Linked DNA regions of Saccharomyces cerevisiae S288C. The protein of the gene in region 1 interacts with the protein of each later gene in a pairwise test. Each region holds a gene or a part of one and is shown on either strand. Other genes may lie near its edges. The genes, in order: PSY2, RRD1 and SPT4.

Region 1 (5,154 bases):
TGTGCCGTTTCAAGGACATGTGGGCGCTGCTAAAGCGGGAATAGACGCATTGGCAAAGAATTTAGCGGTTGAGTTGGGGCCTCTGGGTATACGTTCGAATTGCATTGCTCCAGGTGCTATCGATAATACGGAAGGCTTGAAGAGATTAGCCGGCAAAAAATATAAGGAAAAGGCCTTGGCAAAGATACCATTACAAAGGCTTGGATCTACACGGGATATAGCCGAATCTACTGTTTATATTTTTTCACCCGCCGCATCGTATGTCACCGGTACCGTCTTAGTTGTTGACGGTGGTATGTGGCATTTAGGGACCTATTTTGGACATGAGTTGTATCCAGAAGCCTTAATAAAGAGTATGACATCTAAATTATAATACGTATAGGTATTGAGTACTATTATTATATGACACTTTCTCGTATGCTTTTTGATAGTTAATTGTATATTGATGAATTTTATATACAATGAGTGCACTATCGTTGTTAAACTTCTTACAACCATGACCGTTGTGCTAGCTTTTTATTCTTCTTTCCAACAAGGAAAAACTCAAGTACTTGCATTCATTTGGTCAACGCTTTTTTTAAATGCTAACTGATCACCAGAATAATGGGGGTCATTTTCAAAGTGTTCAATCTCAGAATGTAATCTTTTGACGTTTTTAATGTCAATATCTTCTAAATGATTCGAAGCAAATCCATCTGTTGACATATTTACAGAAATGTCATTCCCCCCTTCAATGCTATTTTCAAAGCTAGAATGATCGGGTTGGTTTTCTTCCCCGGTTTCTAGCATATCCTGGATGAAAGGGATATCAGTAGCTTTTCTCAAGACATCACCATATGTTTGAACTAAGTATTTGTTTAAAATGGTAAAGTTTGTCCTATTGTTGTTCACGTTCGTTTTGACGTCATTACCGTTGCCATCATAAGAACCATTGGTTTTTTCCTTTCTGTTATGGCCATCACTTTGATAAGCTCTACATTCTGTTATAATAATGCGGAAAAAATCTTGAATGCATGAATTTGCAAGATTATTCTTATCTATGTTCTCCTGGAAGAGTTTAAAAACCGGCGCATATAAATTTTTTGAAATCATATATCGATGATAGTATTTATCATCGAGACACATAAGGTTTTTAATGCATCTTACTGCTGTTAACCTTAGCTGCATCATATGATTACCGCCGATAAGTTTGCTAACAGAATCTAGTATACCGTTTTCTAATATGAATCTTCTGGATAAGACACGATCATGCTCAGTGCAAACAAATGATACCAATTTCACTAAATGAATTAACAAAAGATCGTCTTTTGTAACCTTTTCTATTTGCCCATCTATTTCTGCCATTTCCGTTGTGATATCCTTCTTGATTAATGGACCAAACAGTATGGGTGCGATTTTATTATAGAAATTTGCAAAATATTCCATTACTTGAAATTCAGATTCAGATTCTGGCTCTAGATTATTCATTTCATCGCTGCTATAGTGATAGTTATTTAAATTGATTGAATCCGAGTTTAAACCATAACTGAAACTTGGGAAATCTTCAGATGTGTTCTTAGCTTCATAATTTGATCTGCCCATAAGATCATATGAACCTTCTCCATTACCCACACATCCTTCAGGGTGAAGCAAAGTATTTAGCGCTTGCACAACTTGTTCTCGCAATCCGGGACTCCTGTCGGACAGAAGAATGGTTGAAAGTATCAATAACAACTTGGAATCAGTACTGGAGCTGTAATCCTGCGGATATTTCCGATGGGAAGACTTGTCATCGGGCGCTGATTTATGTTGCCGTTTGAAAGAATCTTCATTCTGAACGTTGTGAATTAACAAGATATCGTGTTCGATTATAGTAATGATAGTATCCGTAGCTAAAATCCTAACATTACTATCCGTCTCCATGTGAAATGCATAATCTAAAACTTTGAATAGACCCTTTCGAACAAGTGTTTTATAGAACTTAGAACGGTCAACCGCATCTAAATTGATTGACATTTGAACACACTGTTGCAACAATCTAATCCCGTCTTTTCGTTTTTGTACAAACTTCTCCTTCTCTGAAGAGCTTTCTGGAAGGGTTTTGGTATCATAAAGCTCTATTAGTCTGTCCAAAAACGTCCCTACTTGAAGAAAGTCGATTATACACGTTTCCAGGTCCATGACAATTTCCGAGATTAAGTTGAAATTATGATCGTCTAAAAATCGTACTAATACCACGTCTTTTAAGAACTGTAAGCGAAAACATTTTTTCATTATTATTTTTAAGTCCTCATTTTCCAATGGAATAACCTCTTTGAAATTGGGACCTTTTGATCCTAAATATTTCCTATGATTTGCCTTTGATGTAGGGTATTCAGTATCGTATTCTAAAATCCCAACTATTCCCATAATCCTATCGTCCTCCACCATTGACTCCAATATGTCTCTTTTATTGTAAAGTATCAAAGTTTTGATGATGTTACTTAGCAAAAATAAATCCTTCGGTATCTTTTCTTCTTCTGCTTTGTGGAAATGAGAAATCAGTGTATCAATGTAATTTGACTGGAGGATAAACTCAATGGTTTCGTTTTTCAAAAAATCGAAAGAAGTATTTTCATTCAAAATCTTTAGAGCTTCTAGTAAAGTTTGACTATTCTGTTGCTGGTCGTTGGAGGGCAAGGTCACAGGGCCCGTTATAATGTCGTGAACAGACCCGAGTCCGTTGTCGCTGGATTTTACGGTGACTAAAGAAATATTTGACTCTATGTTCCTTTGGACGTGAACAATGAATTCACATAAGGTGTCACATCCCATACTTTCTTCAAAACTCAAGGCTATATCTTTCCCCCCTAAATCCTTCCAAACAATAAGCGTTTCCTCCTGCCGTTGATATTCAATATTTCCTTCTAGTTTGGATTTTAGTAAAGTTTCAGTTGGGGAGTCTTCATCTGAGACAACAAGATATGCGAACTTACCTTCGTCCACCTCCCCTATACAAAACCCTGTACCTGTGTCTTTCCATTCGTTGTTCTCTAAAATGTAAACCTTTACTCTTTTGGGTTCAGTATTAACCGAAACGGCTTGTTCAGTATCCTCATCCATCGGGGTCGGAGATGTAGTAGGTGTACCCGGTAATGACATTACTCTTACTATACGTAAATCCTAAACTTTTCAGTTAGAATTTCTGTTTCAAACACAGACCAAAAAAAATACTGTTTTCTACCGGTTTAATATGGAATAAATGAGTTTCGATGAATTATAGTACCAGTTCAGTACACTCTTCTTTATTTTTTTTTTTTTCAGTATGCGCGGGTTTTGAAAGCACTAGGTCTTTTAGATTTTACGTCAAAGGAGGCCGAGAAAATATTGTTAACTATGCCACTGATGCAAGCAATCTCTATTGTGCAATTCTAGTTATATCTACCTTGCAATTGCCCTTTAGAAAGTATTGGTCTTCTTTCTTTTGTTTCTTCTTCGGATGAAACACCAAAGGAAAAAAAAAAAAGACAGATAGAAAAAGAAAAGATGGCGCGTCAGAAAAAGAAACGACGGTTTTATCATCTTAAAAGAGAATCATGATGGCTATTTGTTCACAAAATAAGGGATTATATAAAAATTATGTATGGTAGTGGCATTATAGATTTGGGCTATCAGAGTTTCAATATTTGGTCTGTGGATTCATATCCAAATGGCTCAAAGCCGAATTTATTGGCGAAATCTCGAGGAATGAATCTTCCCCCCACGTAATGAGTTGTTTGATTCTCCCTTATGTGAGAGCTGCATGGCTTGGGGACAGTCAGAGATACAAGAACAGCAGGATTAATTGAGGGCTGAGAGATCGGACCTTTGTCAACGTCCCAACCTGTGGGGACGTCCACCGAAACAATCGGGATAATGTTTTGCACTTTGCACAGTTCTTCGACAATGCCCTTGAATGGCTCTCTCATGGGAGGCTTGAAACTAAAACCAAATATTGCATCTACAATGCATAAGGTCTTTTCCGGCTTCAAATATTCCAGCCAGTTTCCCTCATCTTGAGACAGGACAGGAACTTTGAAAAAATTCAATTGGTGAACCAGCTGTTTGTAGAATTCAGTGCGCTCGCTTCTCTTGGGGTAGAAAACAACAGGGTTGTAACCAAAAAGCTTCAAATGTCTTGCGCACACGAGACCATCCCCGCCATTGTTACCTGGCCCAGCAATAACAAATACATGTTTGCCCTTTTCCGTTTCTGTCTTGCCTCTCAGTGGAAACTGGCGACATACAGCCTGCGCGACACTAAACCCAGCTAACTCCATTAGCTGTTGTAGAGTGAATCCGATTTGAGGACCCATCAATTCTTTGTCGATTTCAGCTGCAAGCTTTGATGAAACAACTTTCAACGTAGACATTTTTACCTTACAATGATTTCTCTTTAATACCTGAGATTGGTGTGTTGAAATGAAAATATGTGTTGGCCCAGCAACAGACAATAATATAAGCAAGGATCCTGGTCGTTTGATATTCTTCTTGAGTTTTTTTCTTATATATGAACGTATGTGTATATATTCACCATCCCTATTGTCTCCACCCCTTGTTCGCTCGTAGCGACGGAAACAATCAAATAAGAGGACCCACGGTAAAAGTAGCGTAAATTTTACGGTTCTGCTGCAAAATAAAGAAACCCATTTTGTATCCTTTACATCAGGAATAACGTAAAAAGAATTATCATTAGTTCGTAGTTATATAATAACGTCTGTTCATTATAAAAGAGTACAAGAAACAGTAAGATAGTAAACGTCACTGTTAAATAGTTAATTATACCGCCAATCTACACCAGAAAATTAAAAGAGAAAGCAATATATGTTAAACATTATTATCGTGTCATCTTTGTAAATCCCTTAACATACTTCTAACACAACCCATGTCTTCAATTAACATTTTCCTTAACCACTGCGTCTCTTGGCGCTGTAATTCCAATTCTCTTTCTAATTGCACAATTCTTTGGCCTTTTTCAGAAATGATTGCGTCATAAGCTTCTTTCAATGGGCGTATCACGGCTTCTGTATCTATAGGTCCCATGCTGTTTGAAGGATTTAAATCAACTTTCATTTGGGTGTTATTCGCGTTTAAATTAGTGTCCGGACCATCATTTATTAACGCACCCTCTGCTGCAGTTGTCATCGGCCTCTGCCT
Region 2 (3,808 bases), on another chromosome or scaffold:
ATAATTGTGTCAAACTTTGGTTTATGCGTCTGGATTATGGCATCCAGGTCCTTCACGGAGCTATGCAGTTGAGAAACAAGTTTAGAGTCAGTGTTGTAGAATGTTTGCGGCTGCTTTTCCTGTTTCTTTAGAGAACTATTACTTGCGGAGCTCGTCCACTGCGACTCCTGAACCAACTGTCGCAGGGGAGGCGTAGAGTTTTGTGATCGGATATTCTGGCGCTGCTGCTGCTGCTGCTGCTGCTTATGATGTTCTTGTTTCAGAACTAGCAATGAAATGGGCATATGATTACCGTCATGTTGCACGTTCGGTTGCACACTTGATTTCGATAGTATTTCTGAGAAACTGTTGGTGCTTTGTTGTTTTAAAGGGTGATGAGGTCGCCTGGTTGGAGACCAGGATATAGAGCTTAGGGACTGCCCCGGGGGGTGTTGTTGTTGCTGCTTCTGATCCTGATATATTACCAGGCCCCTTCTCTTGTGACTCATTTGCTTACACTGTGGCGACTTTTTCCACTTCTTTGTTTATTTGTATTACCGCTTCCTTTTCCTTTTTTCATCTGATTATATGCTTATATATTGTAGACGCAAGTAAAAAAGAACGAAAATAGAAGTCATAATGCTTGTCATACACATTTATATGTTTAATTAATATTATCTACGTAGTCTATCTCTTGAAAAAGAAGTCTGGTTCCGGTGCGACTGGTTTTGATGGCTTAGTAAATAGTTGATATTGTTACCTGACGGCGGAACGCCTGGGGGAGGCATTGACGTGGACGTTGGGAATCGTGTTGAAGTCTGTTCTCGACCGGGCGATCCTGCGTTAGCCTGTTCTATACTCTCTTCCTCCTTTTCTTCAAAGACTGGAAGATCAGTGCCGTTTTGAATGTTGACCCAGGGAAAGAAGCCTGTGCCGAACCAGAAATGTTGCACCACGGGGAACTTCTTCAGAACCTCTACAGAATACATTTTTAGAAGCCCCTTACACACTTTGGACCAGCGTGGAACGGTGACGGCAATATCGTATAGGATGGGGGAATGCTCTTCAAAGGGCCCCATTTTCACCTCATTAATAAAGTTTATGCCTTGGCAGTAGAAGTTGGTGTCCTTATACTCGCGCACCAGAGACTTATCCAGTATTTCTCTTGGTTGCAAGGGTGCTTGCGCATCAAGCAGCTGCCATTGAGACGAGCCCAAGATGTACACCAAGTGGAAATGGTCATCAAGCCCCCACACGCCATGTGACCCAGCGGGCTCCAGCGTATACGTCAGGATCAGCCTCCTCATGATCGTGTAGTACTTGTTGAACAGCAGAAAAACGTCTGCCCCCCTCATGTGCGGAAACATCCCCAGCATGTCCAGTGCTGCGACCGTGGCCATGAACGAAAGTTCGTGGCCCGTGCCGTAGTCCAATCTTGTCGACGAACCAAAGCTGTTGCCCAGGTAATACTGCAATTCAGGCACCACCTCATGGTATTCCGAGGGAAGCATTTCCTGCAGCCACTGAGGCAAACGTTCATCCAGCTTGTGATGCCACTCGCGGCATGCTAGGTTACCATACCTTCTAGGACCTGGAAGAGGCGGTGTCTCGTCGATCAGGTGTGCCAGCTTGTCCAACACTCCCATCAGCCCGTTAACCATGGCGATCGACGACGCAGTAGCGTGCGGGTCGGGGTCAGAACAGTGCGATATCAACGTAGTGTACTTGTGAAGATGATACTTGATTCTGTGAATGGCTAGTGACGATTGGAAGTCCAGCGTTGTCTGCGTATCGAAGATACGCTTCACCGGCGTAGAGAAGGTGGCGTGCGGCCAATCTACACGATCCAGAGACATTTCTTTGCTCGTTTAATGCTTGTTCATATGTGCGTTCTTTTGCACTTTGCACTTTCTTCCTATTTTATCTTTTTAAGAAAGCTTTAAAGGTCCGGAAAAAAGGCTTGATCAAACACAAGAGACTATGGAAAGGGTGAGTACCAAAAGAACCAACAAGAGAAACAACCAAGTACGCAATGCAGAAGAGCATATTGCTGACTAAACCTGACGGAACACAATCGAATCTACACAGCATCAAAACGGAAACGCCCACCACGGTGGAGTTCGACTCGGAGCAGATGGAAAGGGGCCACAGGGAAAGAGGTCGTAGCAAGAAGAAAAGAGGCGAACGAGACTCAAACGTGAGCAGTCTGTCGCGGTCGAGAAGCAGGGCCAGTAGCCGCAGCAGAGTAAGGGAGGAAGAGTTCCTCAAGTGGACCGTGTTGAGGCAGGACCCCTCGATGCGGTTGAGGGTCGTGGATGTGGATTCTGAAGAGGAAGGTGAGGGCAACGACGAAGATGACGACGACGGCGACGGCGACGATATGGACGAGGAAGAGTCCGATGAAGAGCAAGTGAGCGATATAGAGAACGATTTAGAGATTGACGAGGAGTTCCACTACGATCTGGGCATGAAAGTGTTACCCAACTTTTGTACCAGCATAAACGAAGTGCTAGACTCCAGCAAGCCCTGGATAGCCAAGTACGAGATCAGCATCCGTGGCCACGAAAACGAAGACGTGTCTCTGGAGCAACTCGACGGAGGCTACGTCAGAGCCATGCAACTACTCACCAAGGGTGCCGGCGCAGAGGCCGGGAACCAAAGGTCCTTCATCCTCTACACGGACCTGAGCAGCGAGTCCACCTACGCCCTGACCTATCTCATGGGCGCAGCTGTCAACCAGGGAGACACCGTCTACATTGTCCACTGGGAGCCCTCGAAGCCCACGGACGACTCCCAGATGTTCGCCAACGTTGCCAGAATCAGAAAGCACGTCATGCACCTGTTTGACTGCGTCGCGGGCGTGCTCGACGACCTCGACGTCGTCGTCCTCTCCTTGACCCATCCGTACCCAAAACACCTCCTCAACGAGATGATCCACGGCCTCAAGCCAGTCGCCCTGTGCTGCTCCCTCTCGGTCATCCTGTCCACTCTGCAGAACTTCGTCTGCTCTGTGCCCATCCTCGCGGTTAGAAAGAAGCTGAAACGTGCCAAGCGCAAGGGCATCAGCGAGTGACCAATAATCACTGCACTAATTCCTTTTTAGCAACACATACTTATATACAGCAACAGACCTTATGTCTTTTCTCTGCTCCGATACGTTATCCACCCAACTTTATTTCAGTTTTGGCAGGGGAAATTTCACAACCCCGCACGCTAAAAATCGTATTTAAACTTAAAAGAGAACAGCCACAAATAGGGAACTTTGGTCTAAAGCAAGGACTCTCCCTCCCTTATCTTGACCGTGCTATTGCCATCACTGCTACAAGACTAAATACGTACTAATATATGTTTTCGGTAACGAGAAGAAGAGCTGCCGGTGCAGCTGCTGCCATGGCCACAGCCACGGGGACGCTGTACTGGATGACTAGCCAAGGTGATAGGCCGTTAGTGCACAATGACCCGAGCTACATGGTGCAATTCCCCACCGCCGCTCCACCGCAGGTCTCTAGACGAGACCTGCTGGACCGTCTGGCCAAGACGCATCAATTCGACGTGTTGATCATCGGTGGCGGGGCCACGGGGACAGGATGTGCCCTAGATGCTGCGACCAGGGGACTCAATGTGGCCCTTGTTGAAAAGGGGGATTTTGCCTCGGGAACGTCGTCCAAATCTACCAAGATGATTCACGGTGGGGTGCGGTACTTAGAGAAGGCCTTCTGGGAGTTCTCCAAGGCACAACTGGATCTGGTCATCGAGGCACTCAACGAGCGTAAACATCTTATCAACACTGCCCCTCACCTGTGCACGGTGCTACCAATTCTGATCCCCA
Region 3 (2,881 bases), on another chromosome or scaffold:
TTGGCTGTACTAATTTCCTCAGTTCTTGTTGTTTCAAAATTCTCCTCCGCTGCCATATACTGAATGGCAGCGTCACGAGGGTTCTAAGGGTCATAGTAGTCAAAGGAACAAGCACTATCCATGGTATATGTGAGGCTTCATGCACTGTTAAAAACGTGTCCGCTACACTTTGAAAAAGTGAAAAGCTTCTCTTTGTACTTGGATTAGTCCTACCATATCGCAGACCGACTGAGCTGCACGAGAATGACGCAAAACCATTTTGACGATTGGCTAACCTCTTTAACATAATGCCATACTTTATCTTGAAATTTTCCTATCCTTGGACCTTTTTTTTCTAATGAAAGTCTTTTTAGCCTTAGTTGAATTACTGGACGGTAGAAAAATTGGGTTTGCCAGCAAAAACAAAAGTGCAGAACGTTAAATAAATGAAAGCATAAACTCATATGCTAGAATATTTACTAAAAAAAAAAAAAAGTAAAAAAAATTCATTACTATTATACATGTGATATCAGAACGGAAGGTTTTACTCAACTTGACTGCCATCCCTCGGTTTGTAGTGAGGCAACAGCTCCACAACCTCAGCTGGTAGTCTACCATCGACCTTGATGGCGTACATACCAGCTATACTATGATCTACGCTCAGCCACTTTGCTACCCACGACTTAGTAGGCTTACACATTCCTACGAGGCCCTCGAAAGAAGGCGACGTACATTCCATTGTAGAAACACCTGCCTCTTCAAAAATACCCTGACAGTTGGGACAACCATCTCTATTAAACTCATTTGTGGTCTGCACTATGCCACACAGCATACAGGCTCTTTCACTAGACATCTCTTACACTGTACCTCGTTCGCTTTTGCCAAACTGAATGTGGCCAGGTGTAATTATTACACAGTACATCCTTCGAGCCCTTTCTTAAATTTCACTTTTTCACTCGATTTCACTCATAGAACGTATAAGGTGACCTTTATCAACATCGAGATTAATTATAGATAGAAGATGATTAAATTATATACATGAATATATTTATTTGAGGTATGGTGTCTAAAGCGTAATATACCTATCTACTTCACGTAAATTGGACTACGAGGACCGCTTTAAATAGTAGTAACCATCTCTTTCCTCCATATTTTTCTTTACAAATTCTGGAAGCTCTTCACCCTTATTACTATCATACAAGATGATACCATTACCTAGAGCATGTTTCTTTTCGTTTCTCTTGTAAAAAAAAAGTACAACAAACGTCCATAAACCGTAAATAGCACCAAAAATTAAGCTCACGGTGTAACCAGTCTTAAAACGTGGTGACTCCACGGTAGGCCACGCCAAGGTAGGAATCCAGGCGTAAGTGGATTGAGAGAAGGAATAAATGGCGATCCATGTAATAGCCTTCACCTGAGGATCAAACCTTAAGAAGTCATTAATAAACGACCATAGACAAGGCGATGCGGCCACACTGAAATACGTGGTGAAGAAAGCGTACCATTTAGCTTTCGAAGGAATATCCCACTTGATAAGTAAGGCACAAGAAACGGTATTCATTATAGCAGCAAAAACCATGAATATCCACTTACATCTAAATAAATCGGCACCAAAGGCACAAAAAATCACATACGCAAATCCTAAACATGCGGGTATAACACTCAGGTTGTTCACTTGGGCAATGGAGTACTTTGTATTAGACTTTAACCACAAAGTATATGAACCACTATACGCAGTCATGTTATTCCACGAACATGTATCAAAAACAACAAGTACCCAGAATGCTGGAGTACAAAATACTTTCTTCCAAAGTTTTCTGCTCCATAATGGGGCTAGCTTACTTTTATCAACACCATCTTTGATTTGGTTCCTCTTATTTCTGGCCCTTGCAATTCGTATTTCTTCGTCAGTCAGAAATAAAGAGTAACACTTAGATGGTACACCGGGAATAACAAAAAAACCAATAATAGCCGTGGGAAGAGAAATTGCAATGGCATCGATCAGAAACATCCATCTCCAGCCTGCTAGACCATGGACGCCGTTCAAACTTTTGAATATGCGACTTTGCAGAAGTCCTGAAGTCACGGAACCCAATTGTTGCCCACAAAAGAATAAACAGACTCTTGAATTAATTTCATCTGGGGCATACCAACAACCTAGTATATATTGGGACACTGGGTAGTAAGCAGCGCCAAAGGCACTTAAAATAAATCTGTAAGCCCTTAGTTCGGCTAGTGAGTTTGCCCTATAACATGCAAATGTGAACCAAGTCCAGCCCAAGTCCATTACAGGCAAAATAATATGAGAGGGAAATCTTGGTAACAAATACATAAATGGTAATTGGAAGACAATGGCACCAACATTAGCAATAGTAGAAGTGTAAACGTAATCATTACCTTTCATGTTTAAATCTTCCTTCATATTGGAAACATATGCGTTAGTGTAGTTATTCAAATCCACTGACTTGGACCAACATAACATAAAAAAGTATAAAGCAATAATAATGTCTAGCTTGTAAAGAAGCCGTCTTTCAGCCTTGGTTTGAGTAGTATGATTAGGATACAAAAACTCGTACCACTTACGTGATTTCTTGTATTCCTTATTAACACGATACTCGAATTCATCAAAATATTTCCACCATTTACGCCCAGCTTCATCTCTCACTTCATATGGCAAGTCATGCCTTAAATTGTGAGGATGAGGTTCTACAGCTGTAGTTTCTGCCGTAACGTCTGTCTTCGAGGACTTATCTACGCTATGATGTAGCTCCTCTTCAGCTATGATACTGGAGTTAGTATCGTCTGAGTATAAGTACTGATCATCTTCGGGTAGTTTTCTCAAATGTGGGAAGTAGCTCCTCCACGATTTATTCGAAATTGTCATTATCTATTGATTTGT

What was found.
Region 2: the proteins of PSY2 (region 1) and RRD1 interact in binary tests that used the Saccharomyces cerevisiae proteins (3 or more experiments, as listed by UniProt).
Region 3: the proteins of PSY2 (region 1) and SPT4 interact in a two-hybrid assay, tested with the Saccharomyces cerevisiae proteins (one study listed by BioGRID).

Annotation. Positions count from the first base shown.
Region 1 is NC_001146.8:260,084-265,237, forward strand, and holds PSY2 (Psy2p), read right to left. Parts: upstream 3,121-5,154; coding exon 544-3,120; downstream 1-543. Other genes in the region: SPS19 (2,4-dienoyl-CoA reductase (NADPH)), read left to right, coding at 1-373; NNR1 (NADHX epimerase), read right to left, coding at 3,630-4,370; GCR2 (Gcr2p), read right to left, coding at 4,843-5,154.
Region 2 is NC_001141.2:53,225-57,032, reverse strand, and holds RRD1 (peptidylprolyl isomerase RRD1), read right to left. Parts: upstream 1,836-3,808; coding exon 654-1,835; downstream 1-653. Other genes in the region: VPR1 (Vpr1p), read right to left, coding at 1-488; IMP21 (Imp21p), read left to right, coding at 2,012-3,052; GUT2 (glycerol-3-phosphate dehydrogenase), read left to right, coding at 3,325-3,808. UniProt on the Saccharomyces cerevisiae protein: PPIases accelerate the folding of proteins. It catalyzes the cis-trans isomerization of proline imidic peptide bonds in oligopeptides.
Region 3 is NC_001139.9:616,993-619,873, forward strand, and holds SPT4 (transcription elongation factor SPT4), read right to left. Parts: upstream 833-2,881; coding exon 524-832; downstream 1-523. Other genes in the region: membrane insertase COX18, read right to left, coding at 1-286; VHT1 (Vht1p), read right to left, coding at 1,085-2,866.